Linked DNA regions of Saccharomyces cerevisiae S288C. Changing the gene in region 2 together with the main gene of any one other region gives a genetic interaction. Each region holds a gene or a part of one and is shown on either strand. Other genes may lie near its edges. The genes, in order: ECM7, FLO11 and UGA3.

What was found.
Region 1: mutations in FLO11 (region 2) and ECM7 together harm fitness more than expected from each alone (negative genetic interaction), as found in Saccharomyces cerevisiae (2 studies listed by BioGRID).
Region 3: of FLO11 (region 2) and UGA3, changing one suppresses a phenotype caused by changing the other (phenotypic suppression), as found in Saccharomyces cerevisiae (one study listed by BioGRID).

Annotation. Positions count from the first base shown.
Region 1 is NC_001144.5:1,020,625-1,026,288, forward strand, and holds ECM7 (Ecm7p), read left to right. Parts: upstream 1-2,000; coding exon 2,001-3,347; downstream 3,348-5,664. Other genes in the region: chromatin-silencing protein SIR3, read right to left, coding at 1-1,627; GMC2 (Gmc2p), read left to right, coding at 3,565-3,948, 4,031-4,213; NGK1 (hexokinase), read left to right, coding at 4,590-5,664. UniProt on the Saccharomyces cerevisiae protein: May be involved in cell wall organization and biogenesis.
Region 2 is NC_001141.2:389,216-397,419, forward strand, and holds FLO11 (Flo11p), read right to left. Parts: upstream 4,461-8,204; coding exon 357-4,460; downstream 1-356. Other genes in the region: YIR020C (uncharacterized protein), read right to left, coding at 5,040-5,342; MRS1 (Mrs1p), read left to right, coding at 8,079-8,204. UniProt on the Saccharomyces cerevisiae protein: Homophilic binding protein that enables kin discrimination in heterogeneous yeast populations by mediating homotypic cell-cell interactions during flocculation, a reversible and asexual process in which cells adhere to form aggregates (flocs).
Region 3 is NC_001136.10:154,318-159,225, reverse strand, and holds UGA3 (Uga3p), read right to left. Parts: upstream 2,909-4,908; coding exon 1,322-2,908; downstream 1-1,321. Other genes in the region: UGX2 (Ugx2p), read left to right, coding at 491-1,162; GLT1 (glutamate synthase (NADH)), read left to right, coding at 3,586-4,908. UniProt on the Saccharomyces cerevisiae protein: GABA-dependent positive regulation of genes required for catabolism of GABA (UGA4, UGA1, and UGA2).

The DNA.
Region 1 (5,664 bases), on a different chromosome or scaffold from region 2:
AAGATTCTCTAATTGATTCCTCTAAATTTATATCAGCGTTAAAATTTGACAGAATGGTTTCTCTTCCAGATGAAGAGCATGCTTTTCTAAACTTATCCTCAAGGCCTGCAACGTCCAAGCTTGACTGTTCGTCTGTTAATTTGTTCAATTGGGAGGAATCTGTTACTTGATTATCTGGTGCAAACCGGTCTAAAATTATCTGATATTTTTTTTTCAACTTTGACAAAGTAGCGAAATCAATCATCTTTGCATTACCTTTTTCTGGTGTAGGATTTTCGTTCATACTATGAATTTTGGTGTTGCCCCTGGGAATTCCAGGTTTTCCATTTCCGTTCATTTCGTTATCTGTTTCTGTAGTGTAATTTTTAGAAAATTCTTGTGTTTCTTGAATGTGGATTTTTCTAATTTTACTGCTCAATTCGCTTCCGTGAGCGCCACGTCTTTTATTTACTGGTATTATTGCTTCATCAGAACTTTCTGAACTAACTTCATCTGTTTCCTCTTCAAGCCCACCATCATCACTCACTTCTGGATTATTTGCATATACAAAATTCTCTCGGCCGTCAACGAGTTCTGTAGATGTCTTCTCTGGCTTTGACCCAGGTTTACTTGAAAGCACAGATGTTTCATTGTTTGGCTCATAATCGGATTCCTGTTCTGAAGAGTTTATTGGTATTTCCTCTGAAACAATTAGTTCCTTTGATATAGATCTTTTTTGTAAAATTTTCGAAGAATCTGTAGGTGATGTGAGCGCAGAAGGGGACGCCGATGAGATGTTAGGGGAAACAGACTCTTCTTGGGGAGAAATTGAACCATGAGTTGTTGACGTTCCTCGCTGAGACGGTATATTTCCATTATTTACGTCATCATCTGCAGAGGGCTCGATTTTAATTTTTTTCATTGAAGGTTTCTTTGCTAGTCTTTTTGAAGATCTTTCAACTCCCATCTTATGCATCACCTGTCTATTTGTCTTCTGCCCACTCACTGGTACAGATACTCTTTTCAAGTATTCATCAGATTGTTTGGGTTCCATTTCCTTTACTCTTCTTATGATTTGAAAAATATCAATTGGTACAAACTTTTCCGCAGTAGGTTCGCATGCATAACGTACTAGAAAATCTCTATCCTCTATTTTATCGATACTACTATCATTCCATTGTGACTCTGGCAGTATCTGTCCAACTGCAATGAAATCCTTAAGCCAAATCTCTGATAGCTCAGCAGTTAAATATAACTCGCTCTTATTTACTTCGTTGAAAAATTTATCTTTGTAAAATTCTAAAGGATGATCTTCCTTTATTAGATCTGGCCTGAATTGTTCGTAGTACAGTTTTGGTTTGAGTTCAAACCATCTCAAGTAAGAAAAAACCCAAATCTCCACAACATTATTAAGTGTATTGAGTCTGATCTCATGGATCAAGTAGACAGAATATGTTTCCGTCACATTATCATTAAATATCACGCTCTCACCCTTCCCAAAACTCAATCCATCAGAAATTCTTTTCAGAAATACGTTTTCTCCTCCTCTTTTTCTTGATCTTCTTCTATTGTTGTCGTCAATAACCCTCCCCTGATCATCTGTAATGATAACTTGCCAACCGTCCAAATCTTTCAATGTTTTAGCCATTTTAGCTAATCCAATTGTTAGAACAAAACAACTTTCTTAAACCCCTGTAAGGAAGGTGATGAAAGGGCTGCTTATGTGTTTTTCTTTTTCATACTATGTTCATTTTAACTTTTTTGGAAAGAATAGCGTTTTCGCGGTCATATTACTGATGCGATGAAAATTTACAATTATTTCTTTATTTAGATTGATACATAATATGGTTAACTTTAAATACATCTTTTGGACGCCGCATAAACAAACGTCCCGAATACTTTGTTCCCCTGGATTCGTTGTTTGCTTAACACTGTCAACTCTCTACTTAGTTTCATTTACACCATTTCTTTGTGTATCAGTCATTGCGAATACCCTTGCATATCTAATGGATCGAAAATAAATGGTGATGTCAAGAATACGAGATACAATAGCCAGGCCATTCCAGAACCTTACAGCCCTTGAGAAAGTGGTACAGTGGCTAAGATTAGGGACGACATTACTCATAATCTCTTTCGGGTTGGCGTTGACTGTCGGACCCCTTTCTTCGCCAAGAACATTGTACATGTCACGACTGGATACTTACTCTGCTGATATTACGACGGGTTTATTTACCGTGTTGAGAGAGTCTATGGAGCAGTCGACATCTACAGAAGAAAATAACGGTGTAGGCTTAACAACATCCGAACTGTATATATTGACTGCTTACACCGAAAGTCAGATAAAGAATGTTCCTCAGTACATCACAGTGTCGCTTTATGGGAGGTGCGATTCAACATATACCATGGTGGAAGTATTCGACTCTGAAGGAAATATGCATAGCGTAAAGAATTCGACTACTAAGAGTACCTGCAGTAGCATAGGAACGGACTATCTTTTTGATTATCGTGAGGTTTTAGAAAGCTTGGGTTTAGATATCATTTTAGATTATGCATACAACAAAATCGGTTCACAACAGGCAGAAAGTTCTGCATACACGACCTACATGAGGAGTTTAAAACATAAAAAGGCCAACGTGTTACATTTACTCTATGCAGTTATTAGTTTCCAGGTGTGTATGTTATTTTTCATGATATGGTACTACTACATAAAGGGAAGGTTTATGAACGCCCTCAAAGAAAGGGCACTTGTTCATATCAACTCTCTACTATCGCTAGTTGTTTTCATTGGGGGCCTGATAAGTAGCATAAGCCTTGCCTGGGTTAACTACACTATTCAGTCTAGAATTAATACAGAATTAGAGGCCTTCGGGTTTTCTTACCATCTTGGAGTTACATGGTTTGCGCTTCTGTGGTGTTTTGCAGGTTTGATTTCTGTGTCATGCTTAGCTTGGTCTGGCTTAGAATGGTGTATTTCCGATAATGGCACGTCCTATGGAGGTGGAATCGATGATAAATTCTTAGGCTACCAAGCCGGTGTATTTACTGATGCAGATCTAGACGATGAAACTTCTTACAGTCAACGTTATCCGCAACGACAGTCTACTTCGGGCGAGGCTGAACTGATGAGAAACAGTGATACTATGGCAACAATAAGAAAAACATCTGATGTTGACTTAAATAGTGAAAATGATGCTAACACCAGTTTAGACCATGGAAATCCCACCGCAAATATAAGCAATGGCGGCAAACACGAACCATTTGCTACTAGAGAGGAATTCGAATTGCAGGACATAAGATTCCGGTCAAGCAACGACAGTGAAGAAAGTATGCAAAGGGTTATCAAGCCTTCGTCAGCATTACAGTTTTGAATTCTTTCACCCATCATTCAAAATGCATATGCATACTATATTTGTCTAGTTTTTAATTATATAATAATAATAACAGAAACAAAAAATCGCATTCATCGTTTAATCTTATTTTTCTTTTTTCACCTTTTTCTTGTGAAATTGCCAAGCGCTTAAAAAATCGTTATTTCAGAACTAAACATCATTAAGCAACGAAGAAGAGAAAAGCGGAACTATAACCATGAGTGATACTACGGAAGTCCCTAGGCAATCATCTGAGAACGACCAGGATAATAACTTGGAAAGAACCAACTCATTAAAAAGTCCGGACGTGACCAACAATATACCAAGTCTTTTCAAATTAGCCGCCGAATGGCAAATCAACAATCCACAGGAAACCTTCCAAAACCATATCCTGGAAAATGATGTACTCAAGAAAATTAATGAAATCACTCATTTGATCCGGGAATCGTACAAAGACCTCTCCAGTCAAGATGGGATGATGTCCAAACAACAACAGGAAAAGATGGATTGGGATTTGTTTTGTACTGTTCCTGTAAACATTATTGAGCAATATACAAAAGACATGGACGAAATATATGAAAAAATGGAAAGGCTAGCAAAAGTAAGTATAGGTCGAAACTAGGCATCCTGTGCCATCTCAATTTTACTACGTTCTTTTACTAATAATGCAAATTTAATAACAGCAACAACGTCTTTGGTGTGAATCCGCTTTTCAAATAGACGTGGAAAGATGTGGTGACTCCATTCTCAATGCTGAAACGTGGATGAAGAAGAAAGAGCGCCATTTAGAGTACAAAAATATTGAAATGGAAAGATCCGCAAATGAAATTAAGGAAACTATTCAAAGACTAACAGATGATAGATGAGCCATACTCAAATATATCTGCGATATTGCTAATGTTAGCTATTTCTCACATTTGCTTTTTTTGATTTTATTTATTTACTTTTACGACAACTGGCCTTATCACTCGGCTCTCTAAAAGAAGTCATGTTCCCTTCGTTGGGTTAATTTTTTTTTTTTTTTTTTTTGTTTATATGTTTTTTTTTTTTTTGCCAGGTATTGTTAGCGCCAGATAGCAAAAAATTTTATTCAGGGATACTGAACACCGGGGAAGTTAACTGAGTATATCGGTTATCATTATAAACACAAGAATGTAAGCCAGAAAGAAAAATAAACGTCCACCCCTCGAACTTTCACATATAAGCAAGTAAAGAAAAAGTTAACAAAAGGAGGTTCAGAACATGACAATTGAAAGCACTCTAGCTCGGGAATTAGAAAGCTTGATTTTACCCGCTGATTCCATAGTGAATGTAGTTGACCAATTCCAAGAGGAGTTGTTATCACGGCTTCAGACAAATACGATTTCTATGCTCCCGCAGTGTTTAGTCCCAGATAAACGATCGCGATGGAACCCTGAAGACAAAATTCTGACCATTGATTTCGGCGGGACAAGACTGAAATTTGCAATTATCTCTCTGCCCCAAATCGTTATCGAATACAATGATGCCTTCGAACTTACCTACAACATCGTTGATTCGAATTTCTTTAATCAAATCATCTATACAATATGTACCAGGCTGGCTGCAAATGGTTATATAAAAAAAAAGAACGAGTCATCTGAGGCGTCTAAATTTTTTGTTTCCGTGACATTCAGTTTTCCTCTAAATCCAGAAGGGGAGGTAGTTGCAATGGGAAAAGGATTTGTGATGACTGACACCCTTCAAGGATCCACGGTGAAACAGCTCATCCAATCTTCCTTTCACCGGATTATATCAGAAAATATCGAAGAATTTTTCTGTACCATGAACGTGTGTCATGTAATAAACGATGCAATTGCAGTTTCACTAACAAGCAAATTTATATGCGAAAACGATTCCATCTCATTAATAATAGGAACTGGTACAAATGCATGTTTTGAGGTTCCATACGGATATTTACCACCTTTCAAGAGAGATGCCCTGAGAGAAACATTACCGTCAAGCTATAATAAGGAGACATTAAATTTCAAACATGTTCTCATTAATTCTGAAATTGGCTTTATTGGTAAAAATGTCATTGCATTGCAACCGTTTGACATTCATGGAGCAATCTCATACGAAATGCCACTAGAGTGCGTTACTTCTGGTAAATGGCTTCCCCTATCATTAAAAAATATTCTATTGCAATATAACATAATCCCCAAAAACTTCCCAGTAGAGTTCAATGGGGAACTGGTATGCCAGCTGGCAGAAGACTGTACTAATGCTTGGTTCGAAAACGAACATTATGCACTAATTTGTCAGATCGCACGACTATTAATCAAGAGAGCCGCATTTT
Region 2 (8,204 bases):
CAAGACTCCAGACAAAAGAACGTGCAGGCGCTTGGCAAAAAGAAAAAAAAAAAAAGCGAGAGGGAAAAGTGGCGCGGTGCCAATACTACCGGTACTTGTTCTTGAATAAGCTATCAGATGGTCAAAATAGGGCTAGAAGAAAAATGGTAAAATAAAGTAAAAAAAGGTAAAAGATAATTTTTGAAGAACTAAAAAATATGTAAATGAATATGTATTCTACGGGTAGTTTTCTGCCTTACAAAATTATGGCAGCGAAAACAGAATGGTGGAAGAAAGTAAAGAGGGTATCGAAATAATATCTTAATTTAAGAATGAAAACATCGTAATGAAGAAACGAACATGTTGGAATTGTATCATTAGAATACAACTGGAAGAGCGAGTAGCAACCACATAAAGTTTCCAAGAACCTTGATATTAGCAGCACCTTGGTAAGTACTCGAGATAGAAGGAACAGAGTATGTAGCGACTGCAGAACCAGAAGCAGATTGTAGTGGACCAGTTAGAGATGGAGATGTGACAACGGGAGCCACGCTAGAAGCAGAAGCTGTTGTAGCTAGTTGGGATGTAGTCTTGATTGAAATAGGGTTGGTTGCTGTGGCCACAGTTTCGTAATTCTTGGCACCATTTGAACCTGGAATCAAAGTGGTTATGTAAGTGGTTGGGATGGACTTGGTTGTGTAACCAGTTGTTGTTTCGCCAGCGGAGTTAGTACCAACAGATGACTCAGTGGTAATAACTGTGGTTGGAATAGCCGTCGTGACAGGGGTGGTAGCCGAAGGTGCAGTGTTTTCGCCTGCGCTTGCAGAACTTACGATAGTCTTAGCAGAGCATACAGATGTAGTTTCACCGGCAGCGTTTGTAGCAGCAGAACATTCAGTAGTGGTTATTGTAGTTGGTACGGCATTAGTGGCAGGAGTTACTGGTGCACTTGGAGCCAAAGTGGTTACATAGGTGGTTGGTACAGACTTTGTTGTGTAACCAGTTGTCGTCTTACCAGCGGAGTTAGTACCCGTAGAGGATTCAGTGGTAACAACGGTGGTTGTGACAGCTGTTGTAACAAGGGTGGTAGCTTCAGTAGTGTATTCGCCAGTACCAGTTGAACAAGGAACAGTGGTTGTGACAGTCTTTGGAGAGCATCCAGAGGTAGTTTCACCGGCAGAGTTTGTACCTGTAGAGCAAACCGTAGTAGTAATAGTGGTTGGGGTGAAATTGGTAACCGTAGTGACTGATGGAGTTGGAGCAATTGTGGTTAGGTAAGTGGTTGGAATGTTTTTGGTGACAAATGTAGTTGTAATTTCACCACCTGGTTTTGTACTAGTAGAATACTCAGTAGTAACGACGGTGGTTGAGACAACTGTAGTTACAGGTGTGGTAGGTGAAGTGGTTGTTGATTCCGAGGCGGTTTCGCTTGGACTGGTTGAACATGGAACAGTAGTTGTAATGGTCTTTGGAGAGCATCCAGAGGTAGTTTCACCGGCAGAGTTTGTTCCTGTAGAGCAAACTGTAGTAGTAATAGTGGTTGTTGATGATGTAGTGACAGAAGTCGTAGTTGTAGTTGGAACAGTAGTTGTAACGGTCTTTGGAGAGCATCCAGAGGTAGTTTCACCGGCAGAGTTTGTTCCTGTAGAGCAAACCGTAGTGGTAATAGTGGTTGTTGATGGTGTAGTGACAGAAGTCGTAGTTTTAGTTGGAACAATGGTAGTTTCGGTTGTAGAAGAAACAGAGGTTTCTGTTTGACTGCCAGGGTATTTGGATGATGATGGAGTGACAGTAGTGCCAGTAGAAAAGCTTTCAGTAGTAGAGCTGAATGGAATTGAAGATGGAGCGGAGGAAGTGATGTTGCTAGAGGAAGATGGGGTTGGTACTGGTGCTACAGAGCTTTCAGTGGTGGAGCTGGATACTGGAGCAGAAGAGCTTTCAGTAGTAGAGCTTGATGGGGTTGGTACTGGAACAGAAGAGCTTTCAGTGCTAGAGCTGAATGGGGTTGAAGATGGAGCGGAGGAAGTGATGTTGCTAGAGGAAGATGGGGTTGGTACTGGTGCTACAGAGCTTTCAGTAGTAGAGCTTGATGGGGTTGGTACTGGAGCAGAAGAGCTTTCGGTAGTAGAGCTGGATGGAGTTGGCACTGGAGCAGAAGAGCTTTCAGTAGTAGAGCTGGATGGAGTTGGTACTGGAGCAGAAGAGCTTTCAGTGGTAGAGCTGGTTACTGGAGCAGAAGAGCTTTCAGTAGTAGAGCTGGATGGAGTTGGTACTGGAGCAGAAGAGCTTTCAGTAGTAGAGCTGGATGGAGTTGGTACTGGAGCAGAAGAGCTTTCAGTAGTAGAGCTGGATGGAGTTGGTACTGGAGCAGAAGAGCTTTCAGTGGTAGAGCTGGTTACTGGAGCAGAAGAGCTTTCAGTGGTAGAGCTGGTTACTGGAGCAGAAGAGCTTTCAGTAGTAGAGCTGGATGGAGTTGGTACTGGAGCAGAAGAGCTTTCAGTAGTAGAGCTGGATGGGGTTGGTACTGGAGCAGAAGAGCTTTCAGTAGTAGAGCTGGATGGAGTTGGTACTGGAGCAGAAGAGCTTTCAGTGGTAGAGCTGGTTACTGGAGCAGAAGAGCTTTCAGTAGTAGAGCTTGATGGGGTTGGAGCTGGAGCAGAAGAGCTTTCAGTAGTAGAGCTTGATGGAGTTGGTACTGGAGCAGAAGAGCTTTCAGTAGTAGAGCTTGATGGAGTTGGCACTGGAGCAGAAGAGCTTTCAGTGGTGGAGCTGGTTACTGGAGTAGAAGAGCTTTCAGTAGTAGAGCTGGATGGAGTTGGTACTGGAGCAGAAGAGCTTTCAGTGGTAGAGCTGGTTACTGGAGCAGAAGAGCTTTCAGTGGTGGAGCTTGATGGGGTTGGAGCTGGAGCAGAAGAGCTTTCAGTAGTAGAGCTGGATGGAGTTGGTACTGGAGCAGAAGAGCTTTCAGTGGTAGAGCTGGTTACTGGAGCAGAAGAGCTTTCAGTAGTAGAGCTGGATGGAGTTGGTACTGGAGCAGAAGAGCTTTCAGTGGTAGAGCTGGTTACTGGAGCAGAAGAGCTTTCAGTAGTAGAGCTGGATGGAGTTGGTACTGGAGCAGAAGAGCTTTCAGTGGTAGAGCTGGTTACTGGAGCAGAAGAGCTTTCAGTGGTAGAGCTGGTTACTGGAGCAGAAGAGCTTTCAGTGGTAGAGCTGGTTACTGGAGCAGAAGAGCTTTCAGTGGTAGAGCTGGTTACTGGAGCAGAAGAGCTTTCAGTAGTAGAGCTGGATGGAGTTGGTACTGGAGCAGAAGAGCTTTCAGTGGTAGAGCTGGTTACTGGAGCAGAAGAGCTTTCAGTGGTAGAGCTGGTTACTGGAGCAGAAGAGCTTTCAGTAGTAGAGCTTGATGGGGTTGGTACTGGAGCAGAAGAGCTTTCAGTGGTAGAGCTGGTTACTGGAGCAGAAGAGCTTTCAGTAGTAGAGCTGGATGGAGTTGGTACTGGAGCAGAAGAACTTTCAGTAGTAGAGCTTGATGGGGTTGGTACTGGAGTAGTAGTCTTCTTAGTGCATGTCTTAGATGTGGTAGTTTTCTTCTTTGTACATGGAGTGGTGTCGTGATGAGGAGGTGTAGGCTTTTCCTTTGTGCATGAGGTAGTGGTTGGGGGTGTAGGCTTTTCCTTAGTGCATGAGGTAGTGGTTGGTGTAGCAGGAGCGGTGGTTGATGATGATGTAGATGACTCGGAAGTGCTAGATGTAGTGGTAGATGACTCGGAAGTGCTAGATGTAGTGGTAGATGACTCGGAAGTGCTAGATGTAGTGGTAGATGACTCGGAAGTGCTAGATGTAGTGGTAGATGACTTCGTACCGCCACAATTATTGTCACAATCTATGTTCCAATAGAAGCCTGGGAAATCCGTTTGAGAGTGGCCTTGATTGTCATAGTTGTTACAACCAGTAGACAAATCAAAAGATGTAGTTCCCCATTGCCAGGAGCTTGCATATTGAGCGGCACTACCTTGCAAATACTCGAATTGAATTTGGAAGTTAGGCATCCACACCTGACAGCTGTTGACATCTTGTGTGGCATAAACTTCAAAAGTGGCTGTGAAATCAGTTGGGTTGTCAATCAAATAGGTATTTTCGTTGTAACCGTATAGTTGGACGGTACCTTTTGGACCAGTGACACCAATGATTTTCAAAGACCATAGATACTTCAGGTCAATATTTTCTTTACCTTTGACATGAATAGTGATTTGGTATGTGTTGTCTTGAACCCAAGAAACGGAAGTCACATCCAAAGTATACTGCATGATATTTTGCTGGTCCATGTGCCAATTGAAGTCTAAGTTGGGACAGCCATTAACGATAGAATTACAGCTAGTTCCTTCGGAGGATCCTCTTGGAACTAGTGCAGTTGGAAAACCCAAAGCCGAGTTAAATAGAAGCGAAAGGACCAAATAAGCGAGTAGAAATGGTCTTTGCATAGTGTGCGTATATGGATTTTTGAGGCCTACAAAAGTATATTTTAATTAGAACCACAACATGACGAGGGATAATAACTGATGAATAGGGTGCTTTTTATACGTTTATTTTAGGAAGCAAGAGATCCTTTTTATCAATTGGGAACCCTTCAACAATTTGTACTGGTAAGTCTATGAGTTATCCGTTCTTGAACTAGAAGAGAGCGCAGTAACGTAAATGCTTGAACATATTTGTTAAGGTAAATAAAACTGCCCTAATTTTTTATTTAATTCGAACACGGACATTCCTCAGATAAGACAAGTCTAACAGTTAATTCAAAGTAGAAAGAGCTTAATTTCTCCGTAAAAGAACGAAGTATATTGCGATGATGCCTTGAATCCCAATTGGTAACTCTATGACATTTTTGTAAAGGTTACCTCATCAGAAGAGAACGGACCTAAAAAGATGACCCACATTTCTCTAGAAACAATCGTACCCTAATAGTTGCTTTAAATTGCTCAGCGGTCAAGAAAACGTATCATAATGTTATTCTATTCTTGAGCAGGCACTTTTAGGGTTGGGCAATGTCCTCAAAGTAAATATTAGTAAACAAACGAATACCTCCAAATCCATTGAATTGAAAATCCATTCCAAGCTCTGCGCTTCCAATTGTTAATCACACCACCGATAGGCAATAGAAGTTCTGTCCGTGAAGATACCGCAGAATGAGTTGTGCCCGTATTGTTGCACCTAATTACGGAATCCCAAGGTATGCGATGTCCCAGTACGACCGTTAAAAAGACAACATGAATGACTGATCTGTTTAAGAGTATAGGCAGAAATAAAAAAGTTTGTGCAATGCCTGACAAAAAAAAGCTAATTTTTCTTTTAAGAAAGAATGTCATTCTTTTACCGCAAAGTTAATTTCTGCCTACAATCACCTTCTAAACGCTCGGACTGATTGCCTTGAGCAATCAGCAGTTCTTTGAAGCCACTGTCGCAACAAAGAAAAAGAAAAGGGAAGTCCATTCTTAGCCCCAAAGAAAAGGATGACAAAAAAAAGAAAAAAAGTTAACTCGTACCAGTAAAGCCTAATTTTGCAGTGATCGCTAGCCCCAGAGAAGGACTAAAGACAAAAAGGACCCACTCGATAGGAAAATAACGGCCGAAACTCTTTGGGCGACATTTTCTTGTTAAGAAAACAGAAGAAAAAAACCTTAATTTGAACTTTCCAGGCACACCCAAAAAGGATTATGCTTATGTAATGCCACATTCCGAGAAACTGAAAGGCAAAAAAGAAAAAGCCTTTTTTTTCCTGCCGCGAAAGTTTAATTTGCCTACCGGCGTTCCTATTGGAGTCAGGAAAAGATCACTAGGAATTACAGCTGTGAGAACATACTCTGGGGCTGGCGTAGGCACACAATCCGGTATTCCTAAAGTTTTGTGGTACAAAACTCCATACCTAAAACATAAAACAAATCTCACCCGTGGATCCTTTTATTCATAATACCCCGTCCTGCACGCCGTGGAACTGAGTCTAAGTTGACAAGGCTACGAATGAATTTTGGGAAATGCATACGAAGAGGACTGAAAAAGTAGCAGGTTTCATGTGGTGGAAATACCGATTAGCGCATTCACATTCGTGTTAGGGTCCGTTTTCCCGCACAGCTTTCGAAATATGAAACAATGTCCGTCTGCGTCAGCAGCTCAGATAAGGAAAAAAGAGATGGTAAAAAACATTCGAGAAAAACAAGTACTGCAGGTGCATGTCCTCAATGCATGCAAGTGACCGTTTTGGGGTGGTGAGAACCATCACTAATTAAACTTTTCCTATTTTTTGTCTTTACAATATTCATTAGTCTTCATTCGCATTGGGTGTTCTACAGAAATGCTGGGCAAATCTGGAGATGGGTTGATACGCTAGCGTTCCTACTTGTAAGGGAGCAAAGATGTTAGATTTTTCTGTTTTGGAATTTTAGCTTTCTGTCCACCTTAGGTGTATGGCTCGGCTCTCGATGAGAATAGGAAAGTATTCCGCACTAACCGATGGGGGGTTGTTCTTACCGTAAAACCACACTTGAAAGCTATACGTAGTTGGAACCCCAAAACGACGGTATGAAATGAGGGATACATTAGGGGACAAAAAGGACTAGTAATTTCTTTGAAATTTGTAATAATAATTCGAAAAGTTGAGCATCCTTAATCTGACATGGCACACAGATGAAAAGGTGTTGAAAGCACTGTAAAAGAGGTTAAGAAATATCCTCTTTTCAACGAGCTTCATTTTGAGTATAATATGTTTATATTTGTCGCTGGCCCTGAGATGCTCAACTGTAAGTAAAACATCGGATGTGTGGATAAAAAGAACATGGAAAACGAGTGCAGCAACGACTATATTTAAAATAGTATCATTCATAATTCGATAGATGGACTTTTCAGCTACTTGTAAACGGCGAAATTGTGTCTAAGTTGTGAATGAGCTTTTCATTTTCATTTGCGTACCGAAGTGGTAAAACTGACGACCTAAAGTACGATATACGGAATAAAGCAAGTTCTAATACTCTCTGCAGTTTGACCAGTGCTACTTGGCGCTGTTCATTCCAATTAGCCGTAAATTTGTGAAATAGATCCCAAGATAATCTCCGTTTTATTTGCTTCCAAAGAGGTTATCTTTTTAATAGTTGGCATTTTCTAGCTTCTTGGTTGCTATAAGGCATAGTTGAAGTGCAGTGAGAGGAAGAGGGGAACTCACGGAAAGAGACTCCTTATACTTTTGTCAACCGGTGTGTTCCAAAATTCGCTAGTTAAACGTTTTATTAGCAGCGGTCCCATTGAGCCAAAACCCCGCTGAGCGTTGCGACACAATCTGATCATACCACATAATCATTGCAGCGCCTACTTTTTAACTTCTAGCAGCCAAATTGTTATTCAGATTTAGTTGGCGGTACGACTCCTTACAGCAGTAAATTATTCGAATTAGTAACAAACGAGTGATTGGTATGTGGAGATAGGAAACGAAGACTGAGCAGAAGCACCCACGCTAAGTAATTGTATTCTTGAATTGGGAGCCTGAAGAATTATGATCAAGCTCAGCATCTTTCCGTAGCGTCTTCGAGAATTTGTCCTGTGAGCGGAAGGTTGAAAGTTATAAATGATGTCTTATTTTTTTGCATGATCTCCCCAGACCCAGATGTCATCTGTAAAGAATTTAGTAGGACAATTGAAGACGCTGTCTTCCAATTGATTCAGCGAAACCTTTTCTTAAGATCATTCATATTCTTGTCAAAACACAGATCAGCGTCATATTATTCTTGTCTCGACATTAGGCCGTAATTTCGTCGAAGAAAAATGATCTATGTCATTGTAAATATCTACAATTCCAGCTATTTACGATAATCACGTTAGAATCTTTTGAATGAATGTCTTTCGATACTTTTCCACGCTTGAAAGTTCGCATTCTTTTGGCGTTTTGTATCCTTATTATTCCAAACTTTGATCCGTTTCAACAACGGAAAAGGGAAAAATGAAAAAGTGCTGGTAAGTGAAAAATTATGAAAACTCGCTAAACGGCGAAGTTTAGATGTGAGACAAGCAGCAATGGAAGTATAGGTTGGTATTGAATATCTGTGGTTACTCTAAAGATGTCTCCGAAGAATATAACAAGGTCGGTGATCCCGGCTATAGATTTGTATTGCCGCAAAGCAAATTTTAAAACTCTAAAATCATTGTCGATGATCCTAGGTAGTAAAAAAGAATGGTATGACACT
Region 3 (4,908 bases), on a different chromosome or scaffold from region 2:
TAGGCCAACAAATTCTGACACTAAATACTATTAAGTGACTGCTGACTTTCGGTTGTCACCTAAGGGGTTCTTGAAGTAATTATGGATATTACGCAGAAAATAATCGCATTTATAAGCAACAACTGTCACGATTGACCTGATGCAAAGGAAATTAGGAATATATATGAGTGTAGAAGAAGATGGTAATATCCAAATTTTAAATTTTCCTTCTTACCGCCTTAAATCAATACCATGGATTAATCATTCAAATATATGCAGAATCATGTTAATGGTTCTTTTTGTCTTTTCTGTGATGCATATTCAGTAGTCTGTGATGAGCATCCCCCCACAAGAAGGGCAATTTGATGAAATTCTTACTAGCGCCGTTCGGAACGAGGTAAGGGCGCTTTTTAAAGGGAAAGAGCGTATCATTTGATAAGGATAAATTGAAATCAGTACCAGCGTTAAATGCAGATAGTTATATCGTGTTCATAACCGCTACTGAAGAGTCATGGAGGATAAGGAGAAACTTATTGTATACTCAAATACCAGTTCGGTATTTACATATAGTGCAGAAATAAGGCCAAATTTTAAAATATCTGTATCTCAAAGTCAAGGTTTTGCCTGGAACCAGGACTTATTCGCCACACAATACCAACAATCATATAAGGTGGTATATGATGCACACGAGGACAACTTTGATGAGTTAATTTTGAAGATCAAGGGCAAATTAAAGACAAAATCTAATAAAAGAGCTAAAATGAAGTCTAAGACTAAATTAACAAGGACTGCAAAGCAGAGAAGGGAAAGCCCCGTTTGTGAAAGGGACGAGAGTGACGAGGATAATGATAGTGATCACTACCAAAGAATACAAGTGCTAGATGGCCATGAATTTCCGAGAGCAAATCGGTATAAATCTGTATGGGCTCATGACGTCCACTCGAATGAAGATAGTACAAGCGACGGGGAAAGCAATCATGATATAGATATGATTGGCGGCACTGGCACGTCGTATGCAGGAGCAGCCATAATGGATAGGCCACGCAGGAAATCTGAGAGAAGCATAAGCTTTGTGGAGGACTCCAAGACAGGCGATTACAGGTATCAAACCGGGCAGGTGGATGTTGTAGAGGTGGACTCGGACACCCCTGAAAATAATCACCTAAAATGGTTAATTAAATAATTACTTCTATGTCTCAACGTTAGCATTTCTACATTGTATAGGTATAAATTGTTTTTGAATCCGTACGTCCTACAAAAAAAAAAAAGAACATATATATGTTTGTGTGGTGAAACAATAATTTAAGACACCCAGGGGGCGGGGAAAGAAAATATATGCTGCTCAGGCAAAATTAATATTGTAATCTAATTCGTCAATCATGTGGACCAGGTCATGCTCACTGATGCCATCAGCCTCGTTTTGCCAAATTTTCCGTATCAATAATCTAGCATTTTGGAAATTGTAACATTTATATCGTTTTAAAATGTCGTCAAATTTGGCTTCCAAATCTATTTTTTTCTCCATATCTTCTACCTGAATGCATACACCGTAAATGAAAAGTGGGAAGCATAACGATCCTTCCAAAAAAGTTCCGATGACCTTGTCTAGCTTCGAGTCCAATTTGTTTCTCAGTATCTGTAGTTCCAGCGAATCTTTGTCAATCTTTAATAAAGTTAATTGAAAGAACATTAAGGTAGAAATTTTCATTATCTCGAATAGTTCTAAATAGTAAAATTTCTTTTCATCATCCAAATGTTCCAGCGCCATAAGCGAAGGTTGTAATTTATAAATCTCGACTTGCAAACTCAAAATTTTATCGCCATGCTCTAGCATTTCTTCCTGTTCCATAGTCTGCAAAAACCTCGTCAAATTTGTGACTTGTCCCAATAGTAGTAAAATAGGCTTGTTGATGCCAATTAAAGGGTCTATTTCCTCAATTGGCGAGTCTATTGACTCAATAAAGTTGGCTGAGCTGGGTAAAGAGTTCTGATCCCTTTGGAAGAATTTCTCGTATTGTTCGATCGGGAAGGACGTTGTATTGAAATTCAAAATATCATGATATATAAAATTCACAATCAGCCAGTACTTAACAACGGAATTGAAATTGGGGAAGATTATCCTCTCCTCTAGGGAGGGTTCTTCTGTAGTAGTGGTTAGTATCCGTGAGACATCCTTGCCCACATGGTTTTCGATCAAATTTTTTCCTATATTCAATAATATCTTCCAAAATTTCACATCACCCTGACATATCTCTGAACCACATAAGATTAGGATTTGTGCTAGTGAATATAGAAACCCCAGTTTAGCACAGGCACTTGAGCCCTCGTTTGTCTTTAGATGCGATAACGACATGTATGTATACTTGTTCGCCAAGTTGACAAATATTTCATCCTTTCGCAGCTCATTTGATGATGATATAGACAAATGATTAGCTGACCAAGCAAGAATAGCAAACAATATACCATCATTCTCGTGGGCCATTGGCAAGAAAATGTTCAGATAGTAGTTCTGGTTCATGGGCGCGATGGAAATTATGTTTGCAAGGTGAGACCTGTAGTAGTTGTACAGCTGCAATCCCATAGAGTCCAGCTTCTGAGAAATGCAATCTTCCAGCGGTTTTGACAAATATACCTGGTTATCCTGTTCGTCGCTACCGACCCGTCGAGTACGGGTGGCCACGGCCGCTTTCTGAGCACTGTCAGGAGCATGCTTTCTTTTCTTGCTGATCAACTGGTGCTGTATATCTGCCTTTATTTTTTTCAAAGACTGCTTATCAACAGATTCTGATATATAGATACAGGGAAAACTTAATCGACGACAGTCCCGGCACACAGGTTTATCTTCAGAGCATCTCTTCTTTCTGATCTTGCAAGTAATACACCCATGCTTCGAATATTTCAATTTCAGCTTCTCCACGCCATAATTCATACCTCACTTTAAAAAACTTTGTTTTCTTGGCATCCATACATGAACAATAACAACAATTCTATATCATCTTAAGTAAGACTCTTATTGTAATTTCTTTTTCTTTGATGACTCAGACCCTGGTAGCCCTACCGTTCAACCCTATACAGCGCAAATTTGGTCCTAATACACTTCGGTTTTAATGCGTCAATCCGATTGGCTCCGATAAGCTTTTGCACATTTTTCAAGTCATATGTCACGACGAACGTGATGCCCGCAAAACGTAAAAAAAAGAAGCAATAAATTGCCCAAAAAAAAAATATAAACTGCTTTTCTTAGTCATTCATAAGTTCTGATGGTCTTCCTTATCTTATTGTATTTTTCGTCCTATTGTTTCATTTCTTACCAAATTAATCAATTCTTATATCTTACTTGATAACACACCAAACTAATCGTCTCCACATCATAGGAAGATAGGAAATTGCTATCTCAGTCCTATACTACGCAGACGGATACTCTCAGTTGCTCTTTCTTCCCCTTCTTTTAGCTCATTGAGGTAGTGATTAACGTTTAACTTATTTATTTATTTTTCTGCTTCAGTTTTTTTTTATTTATTTTTGTCTTTCTACTCTCTCTTTTTTCTTAATCTATTTGCCATTTATTTATTTTGAAGAACTAGAAAAAGAATTAGAAAAGAAAGCATGCCAGTGTTGAAATCAGACAATTTCGATCCATTGGAAGAAGCTTACGAAGGTGGGACAATTCAAAACTATAACGATGAACACCATCTTCATAAATCTTGGGCAAATGTGATTCCGGACAAACGAGGACTTTACGACCCTGATTATGAACATGACGCTTGTGGTGTCGGTTTCGTAGCAAATAAGCATGGTGAACAGTCTCACAAGATTGTTACTGACGCTAGATATCTTTTAGTGAATATGACACATCGTGGTGCCGTCTCATCTGATGGGAACGGTGACGGTGCCGGTATTCTGCTAGGTATTCCTCACGAATTTATGAAAAGAGAATTCAAGTTAGATCTTGATCTAGACATACCTGAGATGGGCAAATACGCCGTAGGTAACGTCTTCTTCAAGAAGAACGAAAAAAATAACAAGAAAAATTTAATTAAGTGTCAGAAGATTTTCGAGGATTTAGCTGCATCCTTCAACTTATCCGTATTAGGTTGGAGAAACGTCCCCGTAGATTCTACTATTTTAGGAGACGTTGCATTATCTCGTGAACCTACTATTCTACAGCCATTATTGGTTCCATTGTATGATGAAAAACAACCGGAGTTTAATGAAACTAAATTTAGAACTCAATTGTATCTTTTAAGGAAGGAGGCCTCTCTTCAAATAGGACTGGAAAACTGGTTCTATGTTTGTTCCCTAAACAATACCACCATTGTTTACAAGGGTCAATTGACGCCAGCTCAAGTGTATAACTACTATCCCGACTTGACTAATGCGCATTTCAAATCCCACATGGCGTTGGTCCATTCAAGATTTTCCACTAATACTTTCCCCTCTTGGGATAGAGCTCAACCTTTACGTTGGCTAGCTCATAATGGTGAAATTAACACCTTAAGAGGTAACAAGAATTGGATGCGCTCCAGAGAAGGTGTGATGAATTCAGCAACTTTCAAAGATGAGTTAGACAAACTATACCCAATTATCGAAGAAGGTGGTTCTGATTCAGCTGCATTGGATAACGTTTTAGAACTATTGACTATTAATGGCACATTATCTCTACCTGAAGCTGTTATGATGATGGTTCCTGAAGCGTATCATAAGGATATGGATTCTGACCTAAAAGCATGGTACGACTGGGCTGCATGTCTGATGGAACCTTGGGATGGTCCAGCTTTGTTAACTTTCACTGATGGACGTTACTGTGGTGCTATATTGGATAGAAATGGTTTAAGACCTTGTCGTTATTACATCACTAGTGATGACAGAGTTATCTGTGCTTCAGAGGTAGGTGTCATTCCTATCGAAAATTCATTGGTTGTTCAAAAA